Mus musculus: one gene and its partners. The protein of the gene in region 2 interacts with the protein of the main gene of each other region in a pairwise test. Links are inferred from orthologs where the notes say so. Each region holds a gene or a part of one and is shown on either strand. Other genes may lie near its edges.

Region 1 (5,809 bases), about 3.3 Mb from region 2:
GCAGTGGAAGAAAAGTGTAGATTTCCACAAGTTTTCCTCTAATCTCTGCTTGTATTCTATGGCACACATGCATGCTCATATGCACGCACATTCACACAAATAAATAACTGTAAAAATTTAAGTGAGTGTCTTATTCTATCCATCATAAACATGTCATACCTCATACTTTAATGATAGAGTGTGTCGAGTCAGGACCCTCTGCTTAAGGAGGCGTGTCAGAGACACAGCTTTCTTTTGCACAGAAGACAGGACAAAAAGTCAATACTAAATGGACTTGGAGCACCCTCAGACACCCTCGGGCCTCCTCTAGCAGCTGAGTCCCATTGCTAACATCTAGAAATTTAGCAAGCTGTATAAAGACCGAATGACAGTCAAGTAGTTATCGCTAAAAACTGCCATCTGAGACTTAACTGTGTGCCGCATCCCTGTCTTTGTCTTTAGGGGCTCTACATCCATGTTAAGGAAGAGAAAGTCTACTTCTAAGGAAAACCTGACAACCAGAGACAATATTCTTCACTCTTCATCAAGCCAATGATTCAAAATGCATTCTTCTGTAGTTTCCTTCCTAATTGTGGTGTCAGCAGGTTTTATGGGAGGAGAGAATGGAAAGGCTCACCACTCAGGACACTGCTTGGATGCAATTATGACACTCCACTGGCACTATTTTAAGACCTGCAGGTTGGAGCAAGTTGCCCTGTTTTTAGAGGAGGGATTAACCAAACCAATTTTATCTAAGTCAATTTGCGCTGTTCAGATGATATGTTTGTGAAGCAACCAAGCCACTCATTTGCAGCAAGTGCCTCTCAGAAGTGGTCTTGCAAGGTACAACATGCTAAGCAGGAATCCCAGTAGTCATGAAAGTAAATAGGAGAGACAGCTCTTCATGTGCCATAACCCTCTCTCCCTACTCCACACATCACCCACCCTGACTGCATCCTAGCCATGGAGCCATGGAACTGTAAGTAGAGTTTAGCATAGGGCAAATATGAGCCCAAAATACTGGGTCAAGGGCAGGTCCTCACTCAACACAGACAGCAGAGGCTTCTGTACATTAAAGGTGCTTTGAAAAATATTGACTCACTGCTGCTAGGTGCTAATTTTGCTTATATAGCCAGACCTAAATGTATCTATATTACTTTTATTGGTCATTAACTAACTCCCCCCATGTAGACTAAAAAAATGGGTGAGGTTGAATATTCAAATGAGTCTGACTCACATTGTTAGGGTAAAGTGTAATCAATATGATTTATGACTCGACTTAAAATCATCACCATTACTTTCTATGCCTAATTGTATATATGTTTCCATTCAGTTGCATATACATTCATGAAACAAATTGACTTAAGATCTAAATTACAATGATAATTTGAATCTCAAGGGAACTAATAATGGCAAATTAGGGTTCCTGTAAATTAGTGTTCCCATTTATACCCAGTCAATCCAGTAACCCAATAAAGGATAAATGAAGTGCTTTCATTGAAGAGTATAATGCTGAGGTTTATAGAATCCTTTTATCTTCAAAGGACCAAGCCAATACTCACAATACCCAGTACACAATATTATGCCTTTTATGCAAGTGAAGCAACTGTGAAAGAGAGGTCATACAAATGTCTAAAGGCCTTAAAGCCAATGCAACGTCACATCTGGAATGAACTCTCTGATCTTCTTGGCTTCCAGGCTTGTGTTTCAACCACATGAAACGAGTTTTGTAAGGAACAATCACGAGAAATCTAATTCATATTATGAGTCTGTGTTAAGCTAATTGATTGAGCAGGAATATATAAAAATAGCAAAGATTGATTCTCCCTTGGGGCAGTGATGAGCAGAGAGGAGGAGGTTAAAAAAAGGTGGGGATGCTGGGATAGGAATCTAGGGTACAGCAAAAGCTCCCCAAGCAGAAGTGAGCAAGAATGTAAACTCTCCATTTAGCAACTCCATCTTCTATTGGAATAGTGTCAGAGATCTGATTCGATTTCAGAGAGGAAATGGAATGGGATTAAAGTCAACTCTTGTGGTCCAATTCGAGAATCAGATTAATTAATCCCCACACAATAGTTGTGTACTATTACAGTTTCCAATGTCTTGCTTCATAAATACTCCTCCTTAGAGACAGACACACAACTAATGCCATTCAGCAGCCCCACCCTCCAAAATCTTCAAAAAAAATCAAAGTGATTGAAAAGCAAGAAGCCGCATTGCACAGGTTGACAGAGAAAAGCTGAGAGTGCAGGAACTCTGGTGGGAGATGTGGGGGCTTGAATAGAGACAGTACCTAAGGAGTGTGGAAGAGTGGGGAAAGTGAAGAGTCCAACAATCCCTGGATCCTAATTTCCTCCTCTAAATCGAAATGCCTCCTAAATAAATAAATACTATGCTGCACGTGAAGTGCGAAACAACCCAAGCCAGCTCATAACCAGTAATGTTCCAGTAATTTTTATGAGCCCGGAATGGAAAAGGCTCCCCTGTCCCTGCTTCAGTCGCAGTGTGTCCTATGGACACACTCAAGTTTTTCCCTCTCCACCCCCCCCCCCCCCACGGGGCTGCTTTCACAGCTAGGCCAGAAATAAAGAACCACCCAGACAGAGACCTGAAGATCGTTTCCCCAGCAGGGAGGAAAAGGGGAGGGAGAATTAAGTTTCTCCCGGGGTTCCCGCTCGCAGGGTGTCCACAGAATCTCAGGCTGCTGCGCCAGCACCACTGAGCCAACCGCCGACCTCGGGGCGCCGCCCGGGCCGAGGACGCCGTGGATTTCGGGAGCGTGGGAAGGCGGCTGCGCCCTTTCCCAGACTTGCGCCTAGGCGCCACGAGAGCTGAGCCGCTCCACTGCTTTCTCCCTGCTCGGCCTGGCCAAGCGGGAGGCCTCGGGCCGGTCCCCAGCCTGGGATCTAGGAGTGCAAACTCCTTCCCAGGAGGGCAGCGGCAGGAGCTCGGGTCACAACAGTGTGACAGACAACCGGGGCCCTGCCATTGCCGCCAGGACCCCGTCTCCCCCCTCTTGCCGCCCCCCCCCCCAAGCCCAAGTGTCCTCGGCCAGTTCCAGCCCCGGCGGCACCTGAAGAGCAGCAGGAGCCAGCCAGGGCCAAGCCCGGCGCGGGCGGCGACACTAGCCACCCCACCACCACCACCATCCCCCCGGGCCTCGGCGAGGGGACGCGTTTTACCCATATTGTTCCCGGGTGCCAGCCATCTCCTACGCGCGCCGGGGAGCGCCGGGCGCTCGCCGGCCTCCGCAGCAAGCTGGCTCGGGCTCCCGTGCAAGCTCCCGGGCCGCTGTCGCTGCTGCCGCCGCCGCCGCCGCCACCACCACTCTAGGCCGCCGCCCGCCTTCGCCGCTGCGGCCGCCGCCGCCGCCGCGCAACAGCCGGGATCCGCCAGCCCGCGCGCCCCACGGGGGACAGCACGGAGACCGCGACGTTCCCGCGTCTAGGTCTCCCGGGCTAAACTTAAAGAGTTTTCGCCTCTCGGTCCAGAGGCAGCACCATGACACCACCGCAGCACCACACTGTCATTTCCGCCGCAGCAGAGGGAAAAAAAAGGCAATCCCTTCGAAAGGAGGGTGGAGTGGGGGCAAGCAGAGCCGAGGCTGACACCCTACGGGAGCACGGGGAGGGGCCGGGCAGAAGGGGCGCTGGGCCACCTTCCTAGGCTCACCTTCCGCCGCCCCCGCCACTCCCAACTCCCCGTGCCCCTCCTCTGGAGGCGCGCTTACATGTTTTCTCCCCTGGCAGGAGTGACCAGAGAAACCCGAGCAAGCAAAGGCAGTGGGTGGGTGGGGTTCAGATTACTACTGTACCTACCAGCTGATTCCAGCAGCCTTTTCTCCAGCACCCTGTCATCTTGATGGAAGACACAGGGAGAAGGGGCCTGAGCAGGCGCGCACGAGCGTGTGTGTGTGTGTGTGTGTGTGTGTGTGTGTGTGTGTGTGTGTGTTTGCGCGTCCACGACCGGGTGGTGTGTGTGAAGCGCAGAAGGAAGACTGTGGCCAAACTCTTCACCCACCTACCTCCCTTCTACATCCACAAACCCCCAGATGAGAGCAAGGAGAAGGCTGTTGCACTCGCCAATGAAAAGAGTGTGCCTGGATCCTCCTCACAGGTCCTACTGGTGAAGCTGTTGTATGCAAAGTTAACTAGAGAGTAAAACAAAAATAGTGGAGGAGACAGAGAAGGGCAGACAATTGAAGGAAACCCAACCCCTTTTTCTTTTGACAAAGGGAGAATGGCAATGTTCTATTGGACTTGGGCACAAGTTGTTCAGGTGGATTAAAGCCACTAAAAGTGTATGGGGTAAGGTTTCTTTTGCACCTTCAGATCCTTGACCAATACAAAAGGGTCACTGCCAAGAGGACAATGAGGCAGATGCTAGCCATCCAGAATACAATGTCCCTAATAAGATCCATTTGGAAGCCAGGAGCCTCCCATTGGTCTGGATACAGCCTGTCTTTTAACCTATCACTGGCTCAAAGACTACCACCTCCCCCCAACACACACACACACACACACACACACACACACACACACACACTTAAAAGGTAGATGAGAGAAGGAAGCCACCTCAGAGGATATTCTTTCTAGCTCCACTCAAAATGAGGAAGGAATAAAGCAATCCGAAACAGCCCCTCTCACATGGGCCTCCCATTACTGTGCTTGGGAACAAATCCAGAAAAAAAAATGAAGGTAGATGGGTGTGTCTTATCAGGGAACCAATAGCAGTCAGCCAACAGCACTGTTAAACAAACCTGCTAGAGAACACTGGAGTGGAAATGAAGGGAAAAACCCAACCACATTACCTAAAAGGAAGTACAGCACCAAGAGATGTAAAAGTTAATGTGTCATATCCAAAGCACAGACAACAAGAGCAAAACCAAACAAATGAGACTACATAGCACCAACACCTACACAGCAGAGTACACAACCGACACATTGGGAATGGGAGAAAATGTTTTAAAACCATATATGCATGATAAGGACTTACTGTCTAGAATATGTGTTTTAAAAGGGGCAGAGAACTTAAATGGGTATTTTTCAAAAATAGAAAAATAGCAGATAATAAGATATTTAATGTGACTAATCATCAGGAAAATGGGAAATAAAACAGTGGAGATGTGTTGTATTTGGTTAACAGGATTATACTGTATTCTTGGACAAGGTCAGATGGGTAAATTCTCTACCATAGGACCTTTGACTCAATAAAACACTTGATTTCTTTTAAGTTCATGAGTCAGAAATCTGCTGATTTGCTGGGCAAATTCACCACACAAATATTAGAAATAATTATATATGTATATTTTATGTGTGTGCATCTATATTTACATTTATTTGGAGTCAGTCTGCCTGCGGAGAGACCCAGGTTGTTTAGTAACTAGGAAACTAAGGGCGATACGTCTAGTAGTGTGAAAAGGGACGTAGGGATATTTGTGGACAAATAAGTATTCTCAGTAAAGATACCTCTAAAGTTGATTGCACTGGTTATCTGGAGGACAGGAATAGGAAGGAAACAATGTTAACTTTCTGCTACTGTGATGAAAATCTGAGAAACTACTTAGGAGGAAAGATTTATTTTGGATTATGATTTCAGAGTTTTCAGTCTGTAGTCACTGGTCCTATTGATTCTGATGCTATGGGGAAGCAGAACACCATGATGGGACTGTAAAGGAACTTGCCTCACAGTAAGGAGGGAGGAGAGGGGAGGACGGGGAGGAGGAGGGGGTGGGAATAGGAGTTCAGAGTCCCAGTATACCATTCAAGGGCACATACCTAAGGGCCTACTTCCTATAACCAAGTCCCAGCTCCTAGTTTCCACCACCTCC
Region 2 (5,778 bases):
CTGTTGGACAGCTCCCTCAACTGAGCCGCCCAGATTTGAAGTTGACCCCAACTGGCCTTCTTTCACTTAAAGATGTGCACTAAAATGATTAATTCTTTGATAATTGGGAAAGTCTACAATTAATGTTTGCACACCAAGTTTGTATGTGATCAAATTGTCTAAGCCTTTTCCACATAGATATTCAAGGTCATCTATGTAGAAAGCTCTTAGACTTGAACCCTGAGACTCAGAAAGAACCACTATGTGAACATTGTGTCTTATAAGGTGCCTGACCAAACCATGTTACACAGGTGCTTTGAAAACAACAACTACATGAGGGAACTAGTATGTTGCATAAGGGAAACCTTTATGTTCCTTTGTCTAGTAGCATAGGAAGCCTAAAAGCTGGGGTACTCTGCTAAGTCACCAAATGTGCTGTTTCTCTTTCCTTGAAGCTATCCTTTACAGTACATATGGGTTAAACTGATCAAGATAATTTATATGGCAGCATAAAATATTAACACTATGACCCCAAATCTATTTTCCAAATATCCATTAAGAAAAGATAAGATGGTTGAACAAGTTGTGTGGAAAATCTGGAATTTTTCTGTTATTACATGGTTTCCAGTGGTTAACACACAAAATTCAGTAGCAATTCCAAAGTCTAGAGATGATCTGAAAGGATTTAGGCAGAGTGACTCATTCCTACTTTAATAGAAATGGTGTTCATTAAAATACCAGACATACCTACAGCTTTCTTTCGTATCTCTCCCAATGATCTCAGCCTCATGGACACGCCCTTAAGTGAGTTTTTTCCAAAGCAACAGCTGAGCCGCAACCACTTACCTAAAAGTCTAATCCTCTGTGAACACATCTAGGAATTCCTACATTGGGGTACGTATTTCTAATGAATGGCAATTCCCAAATAATTTATCAGTAGTCCATAGGACACTTGGGCACATTTTTTTATCTGTTAAACCAACCATACATTCTTCTTTCCCCTAATGGTTTCATGGCCTGCTTTGAAGGTGCTATACAGAGTTACCCATAAACAACACCTAGAGTGAGTGTCACAATTCAGAGTTTCCTTTGTATACCCAGGTAGATAAGCACATTTAGCATTAGAAAACCCATATTCATGTCAACCTCAGCAGAGATGGAACCCCATGAGGAATGACAGTTAAGGATCCTGGTGGTGACTTTGGGATCAGAAGCCTGAGCATCAGTCAACTTGATGTTTTAGCAAACAAATAGCCTAGTTTCTTTCAAGGAAGACTAAAAATGTAACCATAAGCGAGGATGTCCTTTCCCTCTAGGGGCCACCACCCCACTACTCACTACTTGAATTACCTTCTTCCAGTTCATCCATGCTTCCAATCTTCCTGGATCCGTCAATGGTATAAATGTAGCGCACTCCCTGAGGCAGGTTAATGTTGTCAGACAAGGATCGGGTCAGGTCAGCCAGCAACGCATCAAAACTACGAAAACGGTCAGAAGAAACAGCGTACACAATCCCCTTGAAGTAACGGTCCCCATTGCGGTAGAAACGTACCTTCTTGGCCTTCTTCTCATTACTTAATGCCTGCAAGGTTCTGGTTCTGTAGAAGCTACAGTGGGCACTATGAGTGGGACTTGGAAGTCCATTCATCCGTGACCCTCTCATATTTCTAGATGCTTTGTCTCGTTCGTCAAAATGTCCAAAATCAAGTTCCATATTTTGGTGGAACCACAGCAACCTGATTGTTAGAGAAAAGGGTGGAGATAAGGAGAGGCAAAGAATAAGGATGGATAAGGGAGGGGGGAGAATTAAAATATTAGCCAGATCCAGAGCTGCAATCTGCTGCCTGTGAAAAGAACTGGTTGAAAAAAGCCTGTGACCCATCTGCTGCTTGTCCCTGACCTGCAGGAATATTGATCTTAATAGAGAAGAAGGAGGGGGCTGGGCAGTAGGCTGAGGACTGAATGGTGGGGAGGGGGATAGGAGGAAGAGATAGAAAGGGTGGCACTTTTGGCACTGTTCCAATTTGGGGAGGGCGTGTTGAAATAGCTTAAAAACCTGGAGCTTCCTGACAGTGGCTCCTATCAAATTGTAACTTCGGGCAAAATACATTAAAACTGGCATCTGCTCCTTCACACATGGCCACATGACTAACAGTTGTAAATGAATCCATAGCCTGACTAAATTCCCTCAAAGAGAAACAGAGGGAGCTAGCCAAGGTTAGCACCCTCCTGTAGGAAGCAGCCTTTGCATCTCAATACAATGGCTAGGAAGGGGGTGAATTACTTTTATTCCTTGTCCTTTTTTGCCTGCTCTAATATGTGTATCCCCTCCCCCAGAATAAACTAGGATTCTCTTTTAAAGGGACAGCCTCCAGGGAATACCCAGTGCCTTTGTGCTATTCATCAAACCCTCTCCCCATCAAGCTGGTGCCGCTATACGGCATCCATAAGAAATAAGCTGGGGTCTAAAAGGGGGAGGGATTGTCGAAAAAACCCAGTTATTTAGCAAGCTATTAGCTCTGCTTCCCTTTCATTTCCATTTGATCACAGAATCCTTTTTCTCCTTTCAGGTGTTTCATCCCCTCCCCGACCAATGAATGCAGCAACACCTCTTAATGGAATAATTGTGGAAAGATTCCCAAATGGGTCCCTGAATAGCACATGGGACCTTTCCAAGTAGGTACACCTTTCATTGTTCTGGGTTTCTCCCCTGACTGAAGGAATATTTTGCCCTCGAAGCAGGCAATTCACTTCAAACTTGTCTATTGCTTAGGTGTATTGATGGAGGGAAAAAAAAAGTCATCTGTCAAGCTTGGATTTCAACCCCCCTGAACCCGTCCCCCACCAGAAAAAAAAACGTCCAAAACAATGAAAACATGCAACCCAATAATACAACCAAAGCCCTAACCCCTTACAAAGGTAATGTGACATCCAAGAAACCAAACTATTAACATTCATCTCACAAATGGGGGGAAAAAGACTCACAAAGCAAGAGGGCTCAGCTGCTATATATATACTGCCACATCGAGATTTGCAAGAAACCAGGGAGAAAGGAGATAAAGGAGGACTGGTAGTTGGTATATTTGCCAGGCTCAGTACCCCCTTTTTTTCCAGTGTCACCATGACCTATGCTGAGCTCAGCATTGTCTCTGTCAGACAACCTGCAGTAGTAAGAGCCCACCTCCTCAAGATGAGTAGCAAGCATTTTCCCCAGGCAGGCTGTGCAAATAAAGCTATGCTTTAGAATCAGAAGTGCTATTATTCTAAATTAGCATCATAGTGAAAACAAAGGAACAACAAACTCACTTTTCCAAAGGAAAATCCCAGGTAGAATCTTAGAGGACAAAAATCCTATAGAATAAGGCAAATAAAAGAGAAGAAAGAGGCGAACACACAGAGAAAGAAAGCCGTGTGCCTTGTGCTTTCCCGGTTGACATCTGTTACATTCTGCTTGAAAATCACTCGAAAGCCCCACTCACCGGTTTTCTGCTGGTTGGGTGGAGATGCTGAGAGAAAGAAAACCAATCTCTCTATGCCTTTGTTGTCTGAGCTCCAAGCAAGAAATTCCTGCCAGGGTGGATAGTTGCCTTCTAGGTCCTAGTGCCTTGTCCAGCTTCTCCCCTGTAACTGAAGCTTAGCGAACACCCCCAACCTCCTATGATTAATTACATGCTTTTTTTTCTTCAATTCACAGCCTGCATTAACAGCTAGAAAGGTTTCGTTTATAACGCACAGGAAATTGCAGGGTAGGAAAAAAAAGATTGCACAGGCAAGCTCAGAATGCTCTAATGAGCAATGTGCTAGCCCTTTCTCTTAGAAAATTGGCAATTTTACTTGGCTAAAACCTTCTGCCTAGTGGCTGGACTCAGCAGGCCAAATCAAGTTTCTTAGAAATTACAGATCTCCTCTTTTTATCTTCTTCAAAGAAAATAAAAAATATGTAAATTTTTTAACATTTCGGCTCATGCATCCAACACTGGTTGTTTTTTAAACGAAGTCAGCAGGAATAGTAAATTGACAGTACACGGGAAAATAGTTGCAGGAATCATGAAGGCTGGAATTGAAAAGTGGCACTTCTCCAAGTTTTTGTTCAGTTGTTTTATCGAGTCAGGGTCCAGCTTTATAGTGATAGTTGTTCTGGAACTCGCTGTGTAGCCCAGGCTGACCTCTCATTTGCTGAAAATTTTCAGCCTCTGTTCTGCTTCTTGGCTACTAGAATTTGCCAGCACTTAGGTCTCTAGGCCCAGCATGACTCCAAAACATTTTAGACTGATGTAAAACATTGGTTAATGTTTCACCTTCCCACTCCTGGGCATATACCCAAAGGAGACTATAACCTACCATAGAGACACTTGCATATCTGTGTTTATGGCTGCTCTATTCACAAAAGCCAGAAAATAGAAACAGCCCAGATGTCTGTTAACAGATGAATGGGTAATGAAAATGCAAGATATATGCATGATTTTAATCACCCATCAGTAAAATGTGAAATTATGAGATTTGCAAGAAATTGTGTGGAACCGAAAATGATATACTGAGTGAAGTATCCGAGGCTGAGAGAGACAAAAGGATTTATTTTCTTTCTTTCATATGGGACTTTAGCTTATAGTGTGTGTGTGTGTGTGTGTGTGTGTGTGTGTGTGTGTGTGTGTGTGTGTGTAGACATCAAAAAAGGGAAAGCAGCACCTAAGAAGGGAAGTGTGTTTTAAAGATTGGGAATTGAGGTCTAGTCCGTAGAGTGGAATCTTCTGGTTCTATACAACTGGTTAAAAGCTACTATGTCTTTGGAGGTCATAGGCTCTAGGGAGAAACTGATTACTGTTGTTTGGCTCAATAGACATGGTGTCAAACTACCTTCTAAATGTTTGTGTTTCTACCTAATAGATTAAAGATTAGCGAAAGGTTAGGGTTTCTCAGTCATGGTCAAAGAAAAGTCTGTTTGCAGCTGTAAACAGTTAACAAAGAGACTCATACCTGGTCCATGTGCTGAGAATGAGTGGCTGTTGAACACTCGCTCAGCCTTAAGTGGGACATTTTATCATCCTCTCCTAGGTTCAGGACTCATCATTGAAGAAGGAAATGAAAGAATGTAAGAGCTGGAGCAAAGTGGGAGGGGGGGGTTCTTCTGGACACAGCGATCATGAACTCATAGTAGCTGTTATTAATTGAATAAGACCAGTACCTCAGCATTCCATTGTGGATGGGTAAGGAGCTTCAGCGTGCTAAGGAGATACTGGCAGCTACTGGTTATGGGGAGAAAGGGATTCAGCCCATGCTCACAGTAAGACTCAAAGATGTGCGGCGATAAGAATATCAGTCTTCCCCGAACGTCATCTATACATTTCAAGAAAAAGCCCAAAAAATTTTTTTATTAAATTGCCAAAATATGTAAAATGGAAATGAAAGACCACAAAGCTTGGATTATAGCTAATATGACTGATCGATTAAATCAAGTGTTAAACTACTAAGATTAATTATAAAGCTATGGAAATAAACATAGTATAATTATAATCTTGGCTTGCAGGACAGATCTTGGGAACTGAACAGAGGTCAGTATCAGTGGGACCTTAGAATAGGAAAGTATAAAAGGACTTTGGAGCCAGAGTACCTGCGTTCAAATTCTGATCGTACTAATTTTTAGGTGGTGGCTGTAGGTGAAAATATTAGGAGGTAAGTCCTTTGGTGAAGTGATGAGGTCGTGATTATCCCATTCCTGAAGGAGATTAAGTCTCCCTCTATTCACTTTTTCGAGATAGGATTTTATTCTATACCCTTGCTGACCTGGAACTCACTATAATA
Region 3 (5,955 bases), on a different chromosome or scaffold from region 2:
GTCAGCCCTATCACAGCAATACCCCACTCCTGTTACCAACTTCTGTCTTAGGGTTTTACTGCTGTGAACAGACACCATGACCAAGGCAAGTCTTATAAAAAACAACATTTAATTGGGGCTGGCTTACAGGTTCAGAGGTTCAGTCCATTATCATCAAGGTGGGAGCATGGCAGTATCCAGGCAGGCATGGCGCAGGAGGAGCTGAGAGTTCTATGTCTTCATTCAAAAGCTGCTAGTGGAAGACTGACTTCCAGGCAACTAGGATGAGAGTCTTAAGCCCACACCCACAGTGACACACCTACTCCAACCAGGCCACACCTCCAGATGGTGCCACTCCCTGGTCCGAAAATATACAAACCATCATAAATATAAACAAATTACTTTTTTTGTTTTGGTTTTTTTGAGACAGGGTTTCTCTGTATAGCCCTGGCTGTCCTGGAGCTCACTCTGTAGACCAGGCTGGCCTCGAACTCAGAAATCTGCCTGCCTCTGCCTCCTGAGTGCTGGGATTAAAGGCGTGTGCCACCACGCCCAGCTAACAAATTACTTTTTAAACTTAAGTTTTAGAATTGAACTACTAGAACCATAACGTATTCAAGTATGATAGGAGATCAAAAGGAAAGTTATCTACAGATAAAATAAACTGGAATACTAAGATCCTATCATCTTTTCTATGTTACAATCAAGTCAGTACTCCAACATAATTCCTAGTCTGTTTGGGCCAGTAACAAAAGCTTTTGAAAACATTTCCTTCAGTTGTTGAGATCTTTTGGTGCCACTTCTAGGACTTTGGCATTTTTCACTGGGATCCGACCAGGAAGTAGGCTCAGATAAGAATATCAGAAACAGTGACCATGGGGCTTTGCTGACTGCTTTGCTTGATTACCACCTTGCGTGATCTCTTTGCTTACTACTTCGCTTTATTCCTTTGTCTTTGATCTAAGAACTGACCATGTGTCTGGATGAGCCTAGAATGATATAAAAGCAGGCTGGGAAAAAGATAAAGCCGCTTCAGCCTCGCCGACTGACTGAGCTGGCTTGGTCGTTCAGCTGCCTGCAAGTCTGTCTATGCACCATGTGCATGGGGAGGCCAGAAGAGGTGTGAGATCCCTTGGGACTGGAGTTACAAATGTGAGCTACCATGTGGGTGCTGGCATCAAAAGAAGACCAGGTACTGCCCTTAACCACTGAGCCATCTCTCCAGTTGCCATAATAAAAACTTTTTAGCCACAAGAACGATACCTAAAACCCCAAGGCATGCCCAGGAAACAGTAAGGAGCAGGAATTCTAAGCGTCTGGTCTTTAAGCATAGGAAGTCACCTTAGACAGACAGTGTGGTGCTGCTCGCACCCCATCCCACCTGCCACACCGAGGGAGTCAGCAGATAGCATCCCTGTTAATAAAGGGCAGGTGCAGTCAGCACACATGCTCACAACTAACACAAGGAAAACGCATTTACAGCTAATTTACATTCTGAGAAATCAGCTGAGTTGCAAGTTAACATGGAAGCTGTATTTTGGGTTCTTTTTTTCCCCCTTTCTTAGGAAAACTGGAGGCTGACTCAGGAGTCTATCAGCACGGAGGCACCGTCTGCCGCTCACTCAGCACAGGATTTTTAATAGGATGGAACTAATGTTAAGAACTTTAAATACTAAAAAGTGCATTTTGCTGTCCAAATAATTTTTTAAAAAATTCTAATTAAATTTAATTCTAATTGGATAGTCTAGAGTAGTCTCTTCTGAACACACTGACCCTTAAAATTAGGGAAACACCCCTTCTTTAAAATGCTTTTCCCCAAAATCTCATTACTCATCAATTCAGCAGAATTCTGCTGGAAACACATCTAGAATAAAAAACGGCCAGCACCCCAGCAGACAAAAAAAAAGTTTTGTTTTCACCCAACTTTTAGGGAAGGGGGAAAAAAAAGCAAATCTTCCGAAAACAGACTTCTCACAAAGTCCTACTTCCATTTACTTAGCAAAACCCCAGTGCCCAGAATGAGCCCTCGATCTATTGACCTTACCTGGCGGGTCACCAAGGCTGCAGCAGAGGCCAGCTCTGTCTCTCCTCTTCCCAAGCTCGCTGAGATTTCCAGAAGGGTTAAAGTGGCCTTCCTTTAGCTTGCAAGCTTTTCTCTTAACACTCTCTTTTGCCCATCTCCTTTCCCCTACCCAGTAAGCCTTTAGCTTACTGCCAACCACGAGACTTTTCAGAAAATGAAAGCAAAAATCTCTAGCAAACTAACGAAGTGCCCGGTCCACTTTTTAAAACCATATAAAGTACACATGTCATACAAAGACAAATCACGAACGAGTAAGGCACAGTATTCCCTTCAATCTCTAAAAACCTAAATGTATGTAAATTCAACTCAGCAGTACAAGAACATATTTTGGAAATGTTTTTCTTTCAGTCCTTGAAAATTGCGAATTTTATTAATTTTAATTACCTAGACTCAGATCACGCTACTAAGGTAATCAAGAGTCTTTGACCCAAAAATTTTCCTCCAAAAATAAAAATAACCAAAATGTGGTTCCTACAGTGTTCGCCACGATGCTCGGACGCAGACTGACCATAGTAAGTGGCACTTTAGAAAAACAAAACAAAGCAGAAACCCTTAAACCGCTCCCTTATTTCTACTGTTGTTTATGTGCTAAGCAGTCGGTCCTCCAGGGGAAGATGGGACCGCTGTCTCTTACCACCGCACCCCACAGCTCCTCGCACGAAGCCTGGAAGAAGTGGCCATTCAATAAATGCCTACTAAACACTTTTGTCTAACAAGTTGGGGCATTCCCAAACGCTGACTCCACCCCTGTCGTCGGCCGCTGGCTCCCGAATCCAGACAGCTTATGGCCTTGCTCTGATGAAACGAAACCTCATCGCTCAGGAGGACCCAGGGCAGGATCAAGAGAGCCACTCGCCTCCATCCCGCAGGGCAGCCGCTCCTCGGCTCATCCCGCTAGGATGCAGATCCCGAGCGCGGGTTCCCACAGCATCCCGAGAGGCTCCATGTCCAGCAGCAGATCTGCAGGGCACTAGTCCCTGCCCACCCCGCACCGACAGCCGGGCGTCGGGACACAGGGGACGCCTGCGCACAAGAACTGAGCTACCACCCTCCTGGCCCCACCGAGGCGAAGGGTAACAATACCCCTCAGCAGTAAGACAGGGTGGACAGGCGGCCCCGGAACGGCTGCGCGCTCCCCGATGCCTCGGCGCGCTCCCGGTGCACAACCGCCTGCACGTGAGCGCGCCCCGCGCGCGCGCGCCCAGGCCACTCTAGCTGATAGGGTCGCCTCACCTGAGCCGGGCTCCGCCCCCCTTCTCCTCGCAGGAGGAGGCGGTGGCCCTCCTCCGCTCGGACCGACCCTGAGGAAGGAGGCGGGAAGGTCCAGACTGGCTTCCCCGGCTGTGACTTCCGCCCGCCCCGCCCCTCGCTCCCGGCTCCTTCAGCCCGTTCGCGCGGTTCTTTGAGGACCCGGCGGAGGCCTACAGTAAACGGATGTGAGGTACCCATGTCACCGCCTCCACAGGCCTCCAATGGCCAATCATCAGGAGGGCGGGGCCACAGTAGGAGTGACGTTCTGAAAATCTGACCAATCCGCCATCCCAGGACCCCGGCTGTGTTTACTACCACAGCATCCGTGAGCGCTCTGACCAATCACAATTTGCCTTACAGCCCGTAAAACTGTTCTCAAAGATCTTTGAAGGCGGGACTTATCACTTAGCAACACCAGGTTTGGCCTGTAGAAAAGCTATTTTATGTCACGCCCAATCAGAACTCAGCATGAATAAGGAAAGCTAGTGTTTTCCGTCTACTTGAGCCAATCGCAATGACTACTGCCAGCCCTGAGTCCCTCCATTGGCTCGCGCTGACTGTGACCTGGAGTCTGAAGGACAGGTGACTTCCTCTCGCTGTGAGCTGGAGATTACTTCTAACTTGTAGGTTTGAGAAAAGATGTAAACGGAACCCCAAGAAGCCGAGTGAGACGAATGGCGAGCTTCACAATGAGTAGGAAATGCCGTCGGTCTAATGGTGGTTGGGTGGATCGTCGCCCGCATCGCGTCTCAGTTGCCCAGACGTCCAGCATAGCAACGGGAGGGTCGGAACTCAGTCCGACGTGTGCCCACCAAGCCATCAACTCCAGAATCAAGTTTACAGTCGCCACCACCTTAAAACTTCAGGGCTCAGCCCTCTTATCAATGCCGCAAAAGAGTCTGCTGGACCGGGTGGGAAAGAGGAAGGCCCGGCTGCCGCCTTGGCCTCTTGCGGTATACCACCGAGCAGTAAAATCAAGATTATGTGTTCTAGATAGCTTTCCTGTTACTTTGATAAAACTGAACAAAGCAGTTTGGAAGAGGAAGTGTTTACTGGGCTTATCACCATGGTTTCGGAAAGTCCTGGGAAGAATTCAAACAAACCGTAGACTAAAGCTACCTCCTGGCTTGGGCTCAGCTGTCCTTGTGCTCAGTTCACGCCTGCGTGAGAATGGACAGGCCACAAGGGATGAGCCCTACTAAGTCAATTAATAAGCAAGCAATCCCTTTTCCCAAGTGAAGGATAGTATAAAATTCTTAGTTGGTTCACAAGCTAATAGGGTTTCCTAGGGCTTCATCCATCCTTAGTTTGCACCAGTTCCCAACCCCAATAAACCCATATAAAAACCACACAATCCAGTTATAAATATAAGCTATGTACCTAGACTGGACAGCTCTAGCACTGTGCTAACTTATTCCCCAGCTGCGAGACCCTTTGCTATTTGCAGTTTCTCCTGGCCACGTGGTTCTGCTCCTCCTCTTCTTCAGTCCTCTCCCCTTCCCTTCTCCTCTCTACCTGTCCCTACTCTCCAAGACCTCCCACCTCTCCCCTCCCCTGCCCAATTACAGGCCTCAGCCTTTATTGACCAGTTAAAATGGGGAAGAGGATGCCCTCAATACCCTCCCCTTTCCCTCATCCCAGTTTCCTTTCCAGATTAACCCTTTAGCTCCTGACATTCTCTCCCTTTTCTACCATCCACTCCCACTACAAAATGTTTTTTAAGAGAGCATACAGAGCCGAATACAGTAGAATAATAATTACACAAAAATAGAACCTGGTGTGGTAGCTCACACATTTTATCCCAGTACTGGGAGGCAGAAGCAGATGGACCACTATGAGTTTGAGTTTGAGACCAGCCTGGTCTACACAATGTGTTACAGACCAAGCAGGATTATATAGTAAGACCCTGTTAAAGAAGAAAAAGTGCATATGCACAGAGATAAACCCAAGAGATGAAACAGAATGTTAGCAATGGCTCTCTTAAAGGGATGTGAGATTATGGGTTACTACAATTTTATTATCCATAGTTTCTGTGTTTTATACTAGTATACATCCAATATGTGTTATTTTGGTAATTGTTTTAATGATTTAATAAATGTCATGAAAATGAGAACACTTATATGTTTAACAAGATTTAATATAAAGCACTGATTCTTTTTTTTGTTGTTTTTGTTTTTGTTTTTTGAGACAGGGTTTCTCTGTATAGCCCTGGCTGTCCTGGAACTCACTTTGTAGACCAGGCTGGCCTCAAACTCAGAAATCTGCATGCTTCTGCCTCCCGAGTGCTGGGATCAAAGGCGTGTGCCACCACCGCCTAGCTCTTTGTTTTTATTTTAAATTTTTTTGCCATGTTTCATTTATTACTGTTATTGTTGTACGTGTGTGTATGTGCACATGTGCATGCATGCAGGTGCCTCAGCACATAGAGAAAAGCTTGCTGCAGTTGTTTCTGTCTCCGCTTTGATGTTTATAGGGGTTGAGCTCAGTTGCTAATCTTTCACAGCAAGTGCCTTTTCCCACGGAACCACCTCATTGGCCCCAATTCATCTTTTTATTAAAGAATATTGCAAGAATGTTGTGACTTAACATTAACAAAGTTAAAAGCATCAATTTAGCAAAGTCACCTTTGTTGTTCTCTGTTG

What was found. The genes of interacting proteins can lie anywhere in the genome.
Region 1: the proteins of Dcx (region 2) and Mid2 interact in binary tests that used the Homo sapiens proteins (3 or more experiments, as listed by UniProt). The two-hybrid records come from large-scale screens. The link is inferred for Mus musculus from reciprocal best matches to the Homo sapiens genes DCX and MID2.
Region 3: the proteins of Dcx (region 2) and Zbtb5 interact in binary tests that used the Homo sapiens proteins (3 or more experiments, as listed by UniProt). The two-hybrid records come from large-scale screens. The link is inferred for Mus musculus from reciprocal best matches to the Homo sapiens genes DCX and ZBTB5.

Annotation. Positions count from the first base shown.
Region 1 is NC_000086.7:140,662,631-140,668,439, reverse strand, and holds the start of Mid2 (probable E3 ubiquitin-protein ligase MID2), read right to left. Parts: upstream 3,485-5,809; 5' UTR 3,166-3,484; coding exon 3,162-3,165; intron 1-3,161. UniProt on the Homo sapiens protein: E3 ubiquitin ligase that plays a role in microtubule stabilization. Mediates the 'Lys-48'-linked polyubiquitination of LRRK2 to drive its localization to microtubules and its proteasomal degradation in neurons.
Region 2 is NC_000086.7:143,929,612-143,935,389, forward strand, and holds the start of Dcx (neuronal migration protein doublecortin), read right to left. Parts: upstream 3,609-5,778; 5' UTR 3,459-3,608; exon of another isoform or gene 3,286-3,458; intron 1,716-3,285; 5' UTR 1,694-1,715; coding exon 1,330-1,693; intron 1-1,329. UniProt on the Homo sapiens protein: Microtubule-associated protein required for initial steps of neuronal dispersion and cortex lamination during cerebral cortex development. May act by competing with the putative neuronal protein kinase DCLK1 in binding to a target protein.
Region 3 is NC_000070.6:45,008,929-45,014,883, forward strand, and holds the start of Zbtb5 (zinc finger and BTB domain-containing protein 5), read right to left. Parts: upstream 3,485-5,955; 5' UTR 3,296-3,484; exon of another isoform or gene 2,024-3,295; intron 1-2,023. UniProt on the Homo sapiens protein: May be involved in transcriptional regulation.